3 linked regions of the Schizosaccharomyces pombe genome follow. Changing the gene in region 1 together with any one later gene gives a genetic interaction. Each region holds a gene or a part of one and is shown on either strand. Other genes may lie near its edges. The genes, in order: zrg17, ubp2 and php3.

What was found.
Region 2: mutations in zrg17 (region 1) and ubp2 together harm fitness less than expected from each alone (positive genetic interaction), as found in Schizosaccharomyces pombe (one large-scale study listed by BioGRID).
Region 3: mutations in zrg17 (region 1) and php3 together harm fitness more than expected from each alone (negative genetic interaction), as found in Schizosaccharomyces pombe (one large-scale study listed by BioGRID).

What each region holds. Positions count from the first base shown.
Region 1 is NC_003423.3:1,944,745-1,948,504, forward strand, and holds zrg17 (Golgi zinc importer, CDF family, Zrg17), read right to left. Parts: upstream 1,663-3,760; 5' UTR 1,579-1,662; coding exon 418-1,578; 3' UTR 193-417; downstream 1-192. Other genes in the region: SPOM_SPBC16E9.15 (uncharacterized protein), read left to right, coding at 2,234-2,296, 2,354-2,377, 2,427-2,469, 2,534-2,631. UniProt on the Schizosaccharomyces pombe protein: Probable transporter involved in the regulation of zinc homeostasis.
Region 2 is NC_003424.3:3,485,477-3,489,236, forward strand, and holds the start of ubp2 (ubiquitin hydrolase Ubp2), read left to right. Parts: upstream 1-1,717; 5' UTR 1,718-1,848; coding exon 1,849-3,760. Other genes in the region: hrb1 (RNA-binding and mRNA export factor), read left to right, coding at 1-7, 106-498, 580-1,026.
Region 3 is NC_003424.3:2,143,810-2,146,952, forward strand, and holds php3 (CCAAT-binding factor complex subunit Php3), read left to right. Parts: upstream 1-1,871; coding exon 1,872-1,970; intron 1,971-2,117; coding exon 2,118-2,178; intron 2,179-2,233; coding exon 2,234-2,361; intron 2,362-2,516; coding exon 2,517-2,579; downstream 2,580-3,143. Other genes in the region: SPOM_SPAC23C11.07 (uncharacterized protein), read left to right, coding at 1,085-1,417. UniProt on the Schizosaccharomyces pombe protein: Belongs to a complex that binds to the sequence CCAAT located upstream of genes involved in mitochondrial electron transport.

The sequences.
Region 1 (3,760 bases):
TTAATTGAGGGTCATATATATGCTTACGTTTTTCTTTTTTTTTTTTACATATGAAAATACCTTCTATATACGCATTCTATTATTAGTTAGACTTGATCCTTTTAGTATGCAACGACCACACATGCCTTATTTATAATAATAAAATTATTCATTTCATATTAAAATCTTGAGTTTGTATTCTCCTTATAATTTGTAATAAGCGGTATAAATTAAAGGAAAGAATGAAAAAGGTGTTGGTAATTCTATAGTAAATATGGATGGCATTTATTAGATTATGAATCCAAACTGTTCGAGACAGCGAAAGTTCCGCAAAGGTGGATAATGTCATATGTTGATAAAATATGCATGCATTAAATGATAATAAAAATATAACGAGTGAGTTACAAACACGGTTGGTTGTAAGATAGGAAAAAACGATTAGGCTCTCTGGATATCTACTGATATTTCCCATTTGGGTTGAACACCAGCACCAAATATGCTTCCTACTGTTTTTTGTATAATCCTTATAATATCTTCACGAACTGCTGCCTGCTCTCGTTCACCTCCTGAAACGGTTAAGCCAATATTAGCAATACAAGTATTATAATGAGGTTGCCAAATGGCAGCATAATTAAGTTGGTCAATTCGTGTATCCTCTTTTATAAGGGAGACGCATTCAAAGACCTTTTCTTTATTAGAGTATGTCAACAAGAGCATTAAGGCAAGCGATTTGGCAATGGAGAACCCATTCACCAGGGCAGTAACAGCAATAGTTAAGGAAAGCAAATGGCTGAGAAATGAACCAACTTGATAACCAAGACTTAACAGCAACACGAGGATGAGTGAAGGTACTAATGTGAGTCCATGGAAAAAGCGAGAATTGAGTTCTCGTATGTGAGCACTAGGGTGATCCAACAATAATGCAAATCCCGATATTATAGCCGAAGCAAACAATGAAATGGTTAAATGAATGTGTACAGTCTCTTCTTCATGATCGCCAGCATGATGGAGATTACCCCAATCTTCTATAGCATGTTCGGCAGGCTCTTTTAGGAGGTTCATGCCGAGGAAGATTAAGAGGATTGAGAAGGAAAAATCAACAAGTAATTCCATTTGTTGCATTCCAAATGGGTAACGTAAACACGTGTGTCGCCAGACGAGGAACGAATCCAATGTTTCACGCCAAACGTTGATAATGATTAAAACACCTTCTACGATTAAAGAGCAAGATAAAGTGAGTAGGATAGTAGCATCCCCCGAGAGTAATACCCCTACGGCGACCAAAAAGAATAGGATTGAGCTTGTCAATTTTAGTTTTTGAGGAAAAGTAAGGATTGCGAATGTTTCTTTAAAAGTAGGAATGGGATAACTGGCAGGTATCTCTAACGGCTGTCGATTCTTGGGTGGTAAGAAATATTGATGCGAAAGCGAATGTTTGTGATGATGGCCTTTTCTGTGGGTAGGGCGAGTATCCACGCTTAACAAGTTGGGATTATTCGCACTCGGTTTTGGTAACTGATCACTAATAGTTACAGAGACATTATTATTTATAGGGTTTTGAATCTGAATAGCAGTCGGGATGTTATGATTTTGAGTCATTTTTCATTCATTTAGATATACTTTCAACAATTCTATAATGGCTTTTTTAAAAACTCACTCACCCATGCGTTTGGTGGAGTGGATGGGTAAGACCAGTTGGTACTAGGCCCAAATTGCAACAGTCTAAGATAAAGATATTGACTGTATCAGTAAATGATTATAAAAAGCCATAGTGTTGTACCATCTTTGAGACATCTACTTTTTAGTGACTAGGAATAAAAAACGCTTAGTAGAAAACGGTTAAAGATGAACAAACTTACCTTTCAGAGCCATCGTGGAACGCCATATATATAGGGTTCAAACATGCGGCTCAAAGTCATCCATACAAGGATATTATGAGTAATTTTTTTAATTCGTTTAATTAAAAATAAAATCATCATTAAGTTATAAAAAAAAGGCCACTCCAAGGGCCTGAATTCTCCTTCTACGACTTTTCCACATGTACTCGATAAGACAATAAATACACTTGGTAAAATAATAAAAATAATTATGTGTAGGTAAATAACATTACGCAGAGGTTCCTAGCTGAGTTCCATCAACTATTTTACCTACTTCTTCCATTTCTCTTCCAAATACCAACTATTGTATTCACAAGTGAGTTCTTATTACCTGAAGGAAGCATCTATACATATTAAAAAAAAGGTTTTCGGTTACAATGTCTGCGTCTGTTAGAGGGAATTCTAAAAATCCTCAATCCACATCTGCGATCACGACTTTGGTGCGTTTAAGATTAGTCTTTCTTTTTTTTTAATGATCTAACCTTGTTTACTTTTAGACTGATAAGTTATTGGAGGATATTGTAAGAAGAAGAATTGTGCTTAGTTAATCATTCTAACAGATTTTTATAGTCTGGCGACTTTGAGACCCTACAAAAGCAATTCTCTGAGAAATGTACGATTCTCTAATTTATAATGAAAGATTTTGCTTTACTAATCATAACTTTTTATGTTAACAGTGGAAACGATGTCAACTCGTTTAGATCAACTTGAAGAATCCATGCGTGAGGCCATGAACAAAAAGTCTTCTGTCTCACCGGTCACATCGACCGAGTGAACAAGATTCACCGCATAAGATTTTCAAAGCTTTCTATTTGAAGTGAGCATACAGCTTGTTTGACGTGGTGGATTGGGGATTGTGCTAGATTTGCTCTATTTTATTAAGAATAACCTCTGTTTGTCTTGCTCTGTCTATTTATTTTCAATTGTATTTCTAAGTCTCGATTGTTTGTCTTTTTCAATTGTTTACATGTTCGTACGAGAAAATTCAAATCATTTATTTTTTGTACATTTATTTTTACCTGTTAGTTCTATTGTACATTTTATATTGTTTCTTGTTTTGATTATCTAGCAAGGCCAAAGCAAGCATATACAACCCACCACAGACAATCAAACTACTTAAAACTAAAGCTACATTACATTTTCTATATCCATCGCATTCAATTTCTTTACTCGTATAAACAAAGAATCTCATTAATAAATTACGAACAATTCGCAGTACTTTCCATCATAAAGAACCAACCTTTAAAGGATGACAACTTTCCCCTCAAAAAGTTGTCGTCCCTTTTTTTCAAATAAGAACCATACAATAAAAACCTTTTTTCATAACGGATTCACGAGATAATGAAGGTTACGTCCAAAAATTTTGATATTGCAAGTATTCCCTTTACTTGTTGGACATACCCAAGGCATGACGAACATTGTTCATCAAGCCATGACCGCTGCTGGTGCTGCTTCTACGTTCCTTGCGGGAACTTTTGCTTTCAGATTTGCCCAAACCGGTGGTACCCTTGTCGCTATCCGAAGAAGCAGAAGAAACATCATCACGTACAGCAGTAGATTTGGCAGCCTTGGGCTTTTTAGTGGTAGTAGTAGCAGCAGCATTTGTGGAAGCTGAAGTAGGCAAGGTGCTGGGAGTAGATTCAACAGCCTTTGTCGTACTAGGAGTTTTAGTGGCACCGCCAACATAAGCAGGAGTGGTGGCAGAGCGGGCTGCTTTGCTTGAAACAGTCTCAGTGGTGGCAGGATAGTGATAGGCGGCGGACTTGCTCTTAGTACTAACATCAGTAGGTTCATTAGTGGTAACGGCGTGTGGATGAACGGGTTCGGTGGTATACAATTTGCTACCCTTAACACTGTTGTACTCGCTCTCCACCTTGCTTTGTTCAGCTTGAGCATCGCGTAGG
Region 2 (3,760 bases), on another chromosome or scaffold:
TGGTAACGTAAGTTCAATTTCTAATCCTCTATATTCTTTTCCTCGAACTTTGGTATTTTAATGAATTGTGGAATTGCAAATAAGAAATGGTACTAACGAGTATAGTTACCGTATAACGTTCGCTGGCAAGATTTAAAGGATTTGTTTAGACAAGCTGGTTCTGTTATCCGAGCTGATATCCAAATGAACCAAGAAGGCCGATCCCGTGGCATTGGGATTGTTGTCATGAGTTCGATGAAAGAAGCCATGCATGCCATTCAAATGTTGCATAACACTGATTTCATGGGCCGCACTTTAGAAGTTCGCCTAGATCGGTTTGCACATCATAAAAGTAAGCCGTATTCCACTCATGGAAATGGCTATACGTTTCCAGCGGAAATGCAAATGACTACATCATCCACCTATCTACCCATGTTAGGTGCTAATACTCAAGTCGAGGATTTAGTTTATCATGCGTATCCCCATGGACCCTGCTCGGATTGCATTTACGTTGGAAATGTATGTATATAAGGACGCTTTTGTGGGATTAGTTTTCCGCATCATTTTAAGTTTTTTTTGGAGATTACTGACTGAATATAGTTACCTTGGGCCACCTCAGATCGCAATTTATTGGACCTATTCACAGATATTGGCTCAGTCATTCGTGCCCGAATCGCCTATGAGCCCACTGGCCGATCTAAAGGTTTCGGTGTCGTTCAATTTGAGAATGAAAATGATGCAGCATCCTCAATTGAAAAATTAAATGGTTATCGTTATGGCGGGAGACCCTTGCAATTATCATACGCTCACTATGCGACTCCACTACCTGCTGTCCCTACTGTGCTCTCGGGTCTTCCTTCAGTCGCTTATACACCACCTGTTATGCATATCCCTACAACGAATTCACCACTAACGCCCCAATCTTTTACAAATTCTTTCTTAGGCTATCTACCGATTTCAATGCCCGTTGCAAACATGCCCGCTATTGCTCCTATTTCTGTAGCTTTACCCGAAAATAATATTGAACATTCTTTGGAGCCTTCTTAAAAATTCGCCAATACATCTGAACTTCTTTTCTCTTTACAATTAAGCACATTTCCGTAGTGTGAATGGCTAGCTCAGTGACGACATGCGCAATGTTCTAAGGCAGTTATCCTAATATTGTTTGCTTTTCTCTATTTTTTCTTCAAATTTTTGCTTTAATTCCTAATCCCCAAATATTCTTATTTTCCATGTTTATAGATTTATCTCTTTTGTTTGATTTCAATTTTTTGCTAAGATCTTATTCTTTTCCGTGACACACCAAAGTATGCTGATGGCATATATATTCGTCTCTCGTTCTTCTAATTGAAGTCTTTTTAATTTTAGCTTTACTGTTTTTTTACAGGATGCCTAGTTTCCTTCTTTTACAATTGCTAACCATTTCATGGTTTTAATGATATTTTAGATTTTTAGACTTCCATTCTGTTAACTTCCAGTTAACCAAGTTTAATCTTTATTGATTAACTACATTATTTTTAAAGTAAGGTGTATTTAGGTTAAAAATCTTATTTAAGCATAATGGTAAATTTCGTATAGCGAAATGTAGGTGTTGATTGTTTCTTACCTTCTTTAGTAGCCTTATCAATGAAATACAAACATTTACTTCTATCTTATTCCCCACATTCATAAAATTGATGGTCGCATACCTGGCTGGCATATGTAAGACGACAAGCATCATACGCATGAAGTCTACCTACCGAGTCCTTTACTCATGAAAAATCCTTCAATCTGTACGTTCTTTCCGTTTGGACGTTTTTTCAAGTATTTTTCATAATAAAAAATTTAAATTTCTTTATTAAAATTATTTACATCAAACTATAAAGAGGAATGGCAACTGTAAAGAACTTGCGAATTGGCAAAAGTCCTAATCGGTTGATTCAAGATTTAGACGTCTTTGATAGTCCATCAGCTGGATGGAATGATCCTTGGAGTCCTCATAGCTCAAGATATCACTGGCAGCTTCATTCAAATTTAGGCGAGTCCGCTGTATTTGACGAGAATGACTTTTGGTGTGTTTGTCAAAAAACTCGCAAACACTTACATGTGAAAGTCCGAAGAGACAGGGGGAAGCCATTAATTGAAGAGCCTGAAGAAAATTATGGAATAAAAGATAGGATTCCTGTTTACTACGAAGAAGAGGAATTACCTGAACCTCATGTGACTAGCCCTACGAAAAGTGAATTCGCTACTACCTCTACTTGTATGAAATGGAGTAGCAAAACAACAAAAAGTGAAATTGAAGTTGAATGGAGAGATAGCTATCTTGATGCTAATTGTATCAAAGAGATAATTGATTCCCGACGTCCATCATTTGCTTCCCTTTTAACTAAAAAATCGTCATCTCATCAAGGGTCATCCCATTCATCCCAACCTTCTCTTTTTACTACATTTACTTCTTTGGAGTTGTTTTTACGAAACGTGTTGGTCCATAACGATCAACGTGCCATTAGCGCTGCCCCGGAAGGAACTTTTGAGAGACATGTCGGAAAGGGCCGCCAAATTCAATCTTTGATGAAATCTCTTCTGTTTGAATATCACCACGAAAATGTAAATTATGTCCCTACCATTGCGGACGCTCCCCTTACTGACGAACAAAAACTTAATCTATACCTTGCTAGGAATGAACTTATTGTTTTGGCTAATCACTTTCGTGACACTAAAGAAGATCCGGCTATTGTTGCTAACCCTTTTCCCGTTAGGTTGGCTCGACCTGCTTTAATTAATGCCTTTGGCGTTCCTAACTATGATAGCGTGGTTCCCATGTATACCACAGTTTTTCGCGACAATTCGGCCTCCTTACCTGATGATCCTGCTTTTATAGCCTTGGGTATCACGAATGATTATCCAGACAGCTTTGTCCGTTATTTCTATGAGGAACAAAAAAAGAACGATGAAGCTAATGTTCGTGTTTATGCGGATGCGCTTGCTCATATATACAATTTACGTAAAAGCAGCTTTTTGAGAGATCTAATTGCGGCAGATAGGAAAAATGGAATCGTGTCGAGCGATGTAATACAAGCCGCTTATTCGAGTTTAGGACTTGAAGCTGAGGTAGGCCCGGATTACAGGTATAGTCAAGAAAAAATCTTTGAGGCGTTTCATTCTGCCCTCCTAAGAAAACCTGAATTTGCCAGAGCTATTAGGAACGATTTGGAGACTATTGGCTATGCAAGAAAGAGTTCTGAAATTTTAAATTATGTTTTGTCTACAGAACAGGCTTTTTATACGGTTAATGAAGCCTACCAATGGTTGGGCATTAAGTCTAACACCGAGGACGCCATGGTAGCTTCTGTGGCCTTAGTGAAATTTGAAGATGATAGCGACAAAGCCATCGAGGCCGTCAAATGGATAGCTGAAGAGAGAAATAGCTCCATTTTGTACGATTTCTTGGCTTCACAAGGTAGACCTTCCAACAAGAAGCCTAAAGAAGTGCCTATGGATGAAGATCTAGCTTACAACACATTAGGTGTTCAAGATCGTGCACTATCAGATGACGTTTTAATCAATGTATACGGCTTTGCTGTTGAAGACCACCCAGAGCAATCAGACACTTTGAGAGCAGCTTTGAAATGTATAGGAGAAGTTAGGAATTCGCGTTTAATCACTCATTATTTAGAACATGGAAATCTAGATATTCCACCAGAAGTTTCAAGTTTGGATACTCCGATCGGTTTGGAAAATACTGGTAATCTTTGTTATTTGAATTCCCTGATCCAATACTACTTTATTATAAAACCTC
Region 3 (3,143 bases), on another chromosome or scaffold:
CTTTTGCGGACCCTTCACCATCACTGGCTACTTGCCATATATATTATAAACTGCCATTATGTTCTACGTAAATTAGCCTGCGTCGAGGAAACGTAATGAATGGGCGGCTCAGCGTTGTATGGAAATAAGACTAGTTAAGTGTCCTTTAGTAATGCACTCGATTACTCTATGTGACGTCGAGAGGACGGAAGAGTAGGAATGATGGTAAAGGCAAAAAACATATTCGTTCTTTTGACAACACACAGCTCGCATCGCCTTCAATTACCCTTGCCAATGTTGCAAGTGATGATGGGTGAGATGGGATAGAAAGAGGAGCAAACTTTTAATCTGATATATCATTGATGTATAGGAAATGAGAAATAAAAATACAACTAGGTTTATAGTGCATTCCACTGTATAATATAAAGATTAGGATAGATACACATGACTTTTGAAGTGCAGAAGTATAGTCAAGTAGGGAATATAGTTGAGTAGATGCGAGTTGTAGAACAAAACAATTCAGTATACGCAATTTTCCCCTACGGGAACATATTTAGGTATGCGTGCGAATGGAGAGTGAAGATGAATGAAATGTAGAAAAAAAAAACACTGGATTGTCAGTTTTGCCATAAGATACATTTACTTTCTTGTTATTCCATTTTTCTACGAATCTTCTTTGCTAGGTTATTTTTATTAACTTTTTCGCAAACACGATTTTAATAACATTGAATTCCTCTTCAGTTATCAGATGTGAACGGTAAATACCAATTGTGAACTATTTCAAACGAACTTAATATTTGCTCTGTAAGTTGTAAAATAAATGTCTCATAATTATTTCGCTGTCAGTTTCCACAATCGCTTCTACTCTTTTTTTATATTTATATTTATATTTTTTTTTTGAATTAAATTAATTCATATTATTATTTATTTTTCTTGGTTTTCTAATGATATGTTTATGATATTTATAAAAGGATTTATTTATTTGCTTTTTGTATGAAGGATCGTCGCTTGAATGACAAAACACTTCTTTTGCTAGTCTCTCCTTTCCTCTTGTTTAACGTATATCACGATTATTTTGTCAGCGTAAAAGTGACATAGGGATTAGATGGCATCCCACTTTCTTTTTACTGGGAAACCTTGGCTTCAAGAGAAGACGCCTCGCCTTCACCTTCATCCCACTTGGGACCTTAAAGCTTCCAAAAGTCTTGCTCGTTTCCCTTATACGCCACTTGAAAGTCTTTTGGCCCCCATTTCGGCCTTTCACCCCACTTACCTAAATAGCGCAGCCCCGTCGAAGGCTCAGAGCCATCCAGTATTGCTCGCCGCTGGAGTAGGTGGAATAGTAGTTAGATGCCCCAGTCGGAAACCGATATATCGTACCACTCGAATTCAGTATCTCTTGTTAATCTCCCACTTTACAACTGCACTATTTAAATAATATTATAGGCCGATACAGTCAGTCTGCGAATTGCTTGCAACCTGTAGAAACAAATTGCTGTTTCTTTTGCAATAACATAGTGTTTCTTTATCGCAATAACCAACTACTGATTTCTTTCCCTATTGGAAGTAGATAGACGTTTACTTTCTTTTGTGAAGAAGCAGAAAGTTAACGTTAAGCCATTACCCTCGTTCATTGCTCAAAAGGAGGTCATTTCTTTTTATTTGATTTGTTCGTCTTTTAGGATCTTCATCTCCTGCTGAATTATTGGATTTCTTTTTAGTTCCCTCCACAAAGGCTCGAGAATAGGTTATCAGCTGTCGATTTTTGTCAAGGATCGTGCTTGCTAGTAGTCAAACCAATTTTAGCGGGGTTTGTGTACTTATTTTCGTTATTTGAGGTTTCTCTGCTCGCCAAAATTAAATTATACAAGTAAAAGATACATTTAATTATCATGAGCGCAGACGGGTTGGATTACACCAATCTCCTACCAATTGCAAATGTCGCGCGTATCATGAAATCGGCACTTCCCGAAAACGCCAAGATTTCCAAGGTATGCATGATTTGTTGAATTGAGAAAAATCGCATTGTCAGTCTCTTCGATTGATTGATTGCTAGTGACGGAGTAGGTCGCTGTGAGTGCGTTCTTCTCTTTTGTTTTGTAATTTTCATGTTGCAGTGCTAATGTCTGACTTTTTAGGAAGCTAAAGACTGCGTCCAAGATTGCGTTAGTGAGTTTATTTCCTTTGTTACTGGTGAAGGTATGGAATCAATAGCAAAAGCCTCATGTATAGTTATTTACTGACCATATAATAGCATCTGAACAATGCACTCAAGAAAAGAGAAAGACAATTACTGGTGAAGATGTTTTATTGGCTTTAAATACCCTTGGGTTCGAAAATTATGCCGAAGTTTTAAAGATTTCTCTCACCAAATACAGAGAGGTAAGGAAAAATTCTTTATTTGAATGGTGATACGTGTACTTCTACTTCCTTGTTGGCTTAGAGATTTAAATTGTCTCAAGCAATGAAGGCGCAACAATTCATTCACTCATACCAAAATTTCATTCTCATAGTCACTTTTCTAACATCTACTCTAGCAACAAGCAAGATCTGCTAGCATGAAAGAAACTAAACAAAGCCGGTCCGAAGAGCCTCAGTAATTTCCTTATATATTTTGCATTAGCGGGGTTTTCCCTGAAATATTTCCTGACTTTTGCAGCGATCGTCGATCGCCTTATTTGTTATTCCTCTCTCTTTTTGTACTCTCCTGTTTTATCTCTGTTTATCTTACAAATGATGCTAATTTACGAACTATGTTAATTTCTACTTTAACCAAGTTTCAAAGATAAGCACTATATTGCCAAAATGGCCTGTTCATATTTAAAACTTCCTTAATGTCGTCAGTATAAATTTAGCAATTACTATTGCCTGTTTACTTAAAGTGTATTATTGTGATTATCCCTCATTCGCTTTTGCTTACTTTTTCATTTTGTTAATCCTGCTACTGTTAACCTATATATTATTTTGAAAAAAATAGCATTTCATTTTTATTTTTACTCATTTCGTCTATTTCACCGAAATCAGCATAAGACACATATAGTCATTCGGTTCATGGAAGGATTAGCCGATGTTTCCGTAGTCATATACGTATCAATCAATAAATTTTCTTATTGTCAGGAAAGTGTTTAATCCTGCTGTAGCTAGTATGTAAATTACCTTCTCAG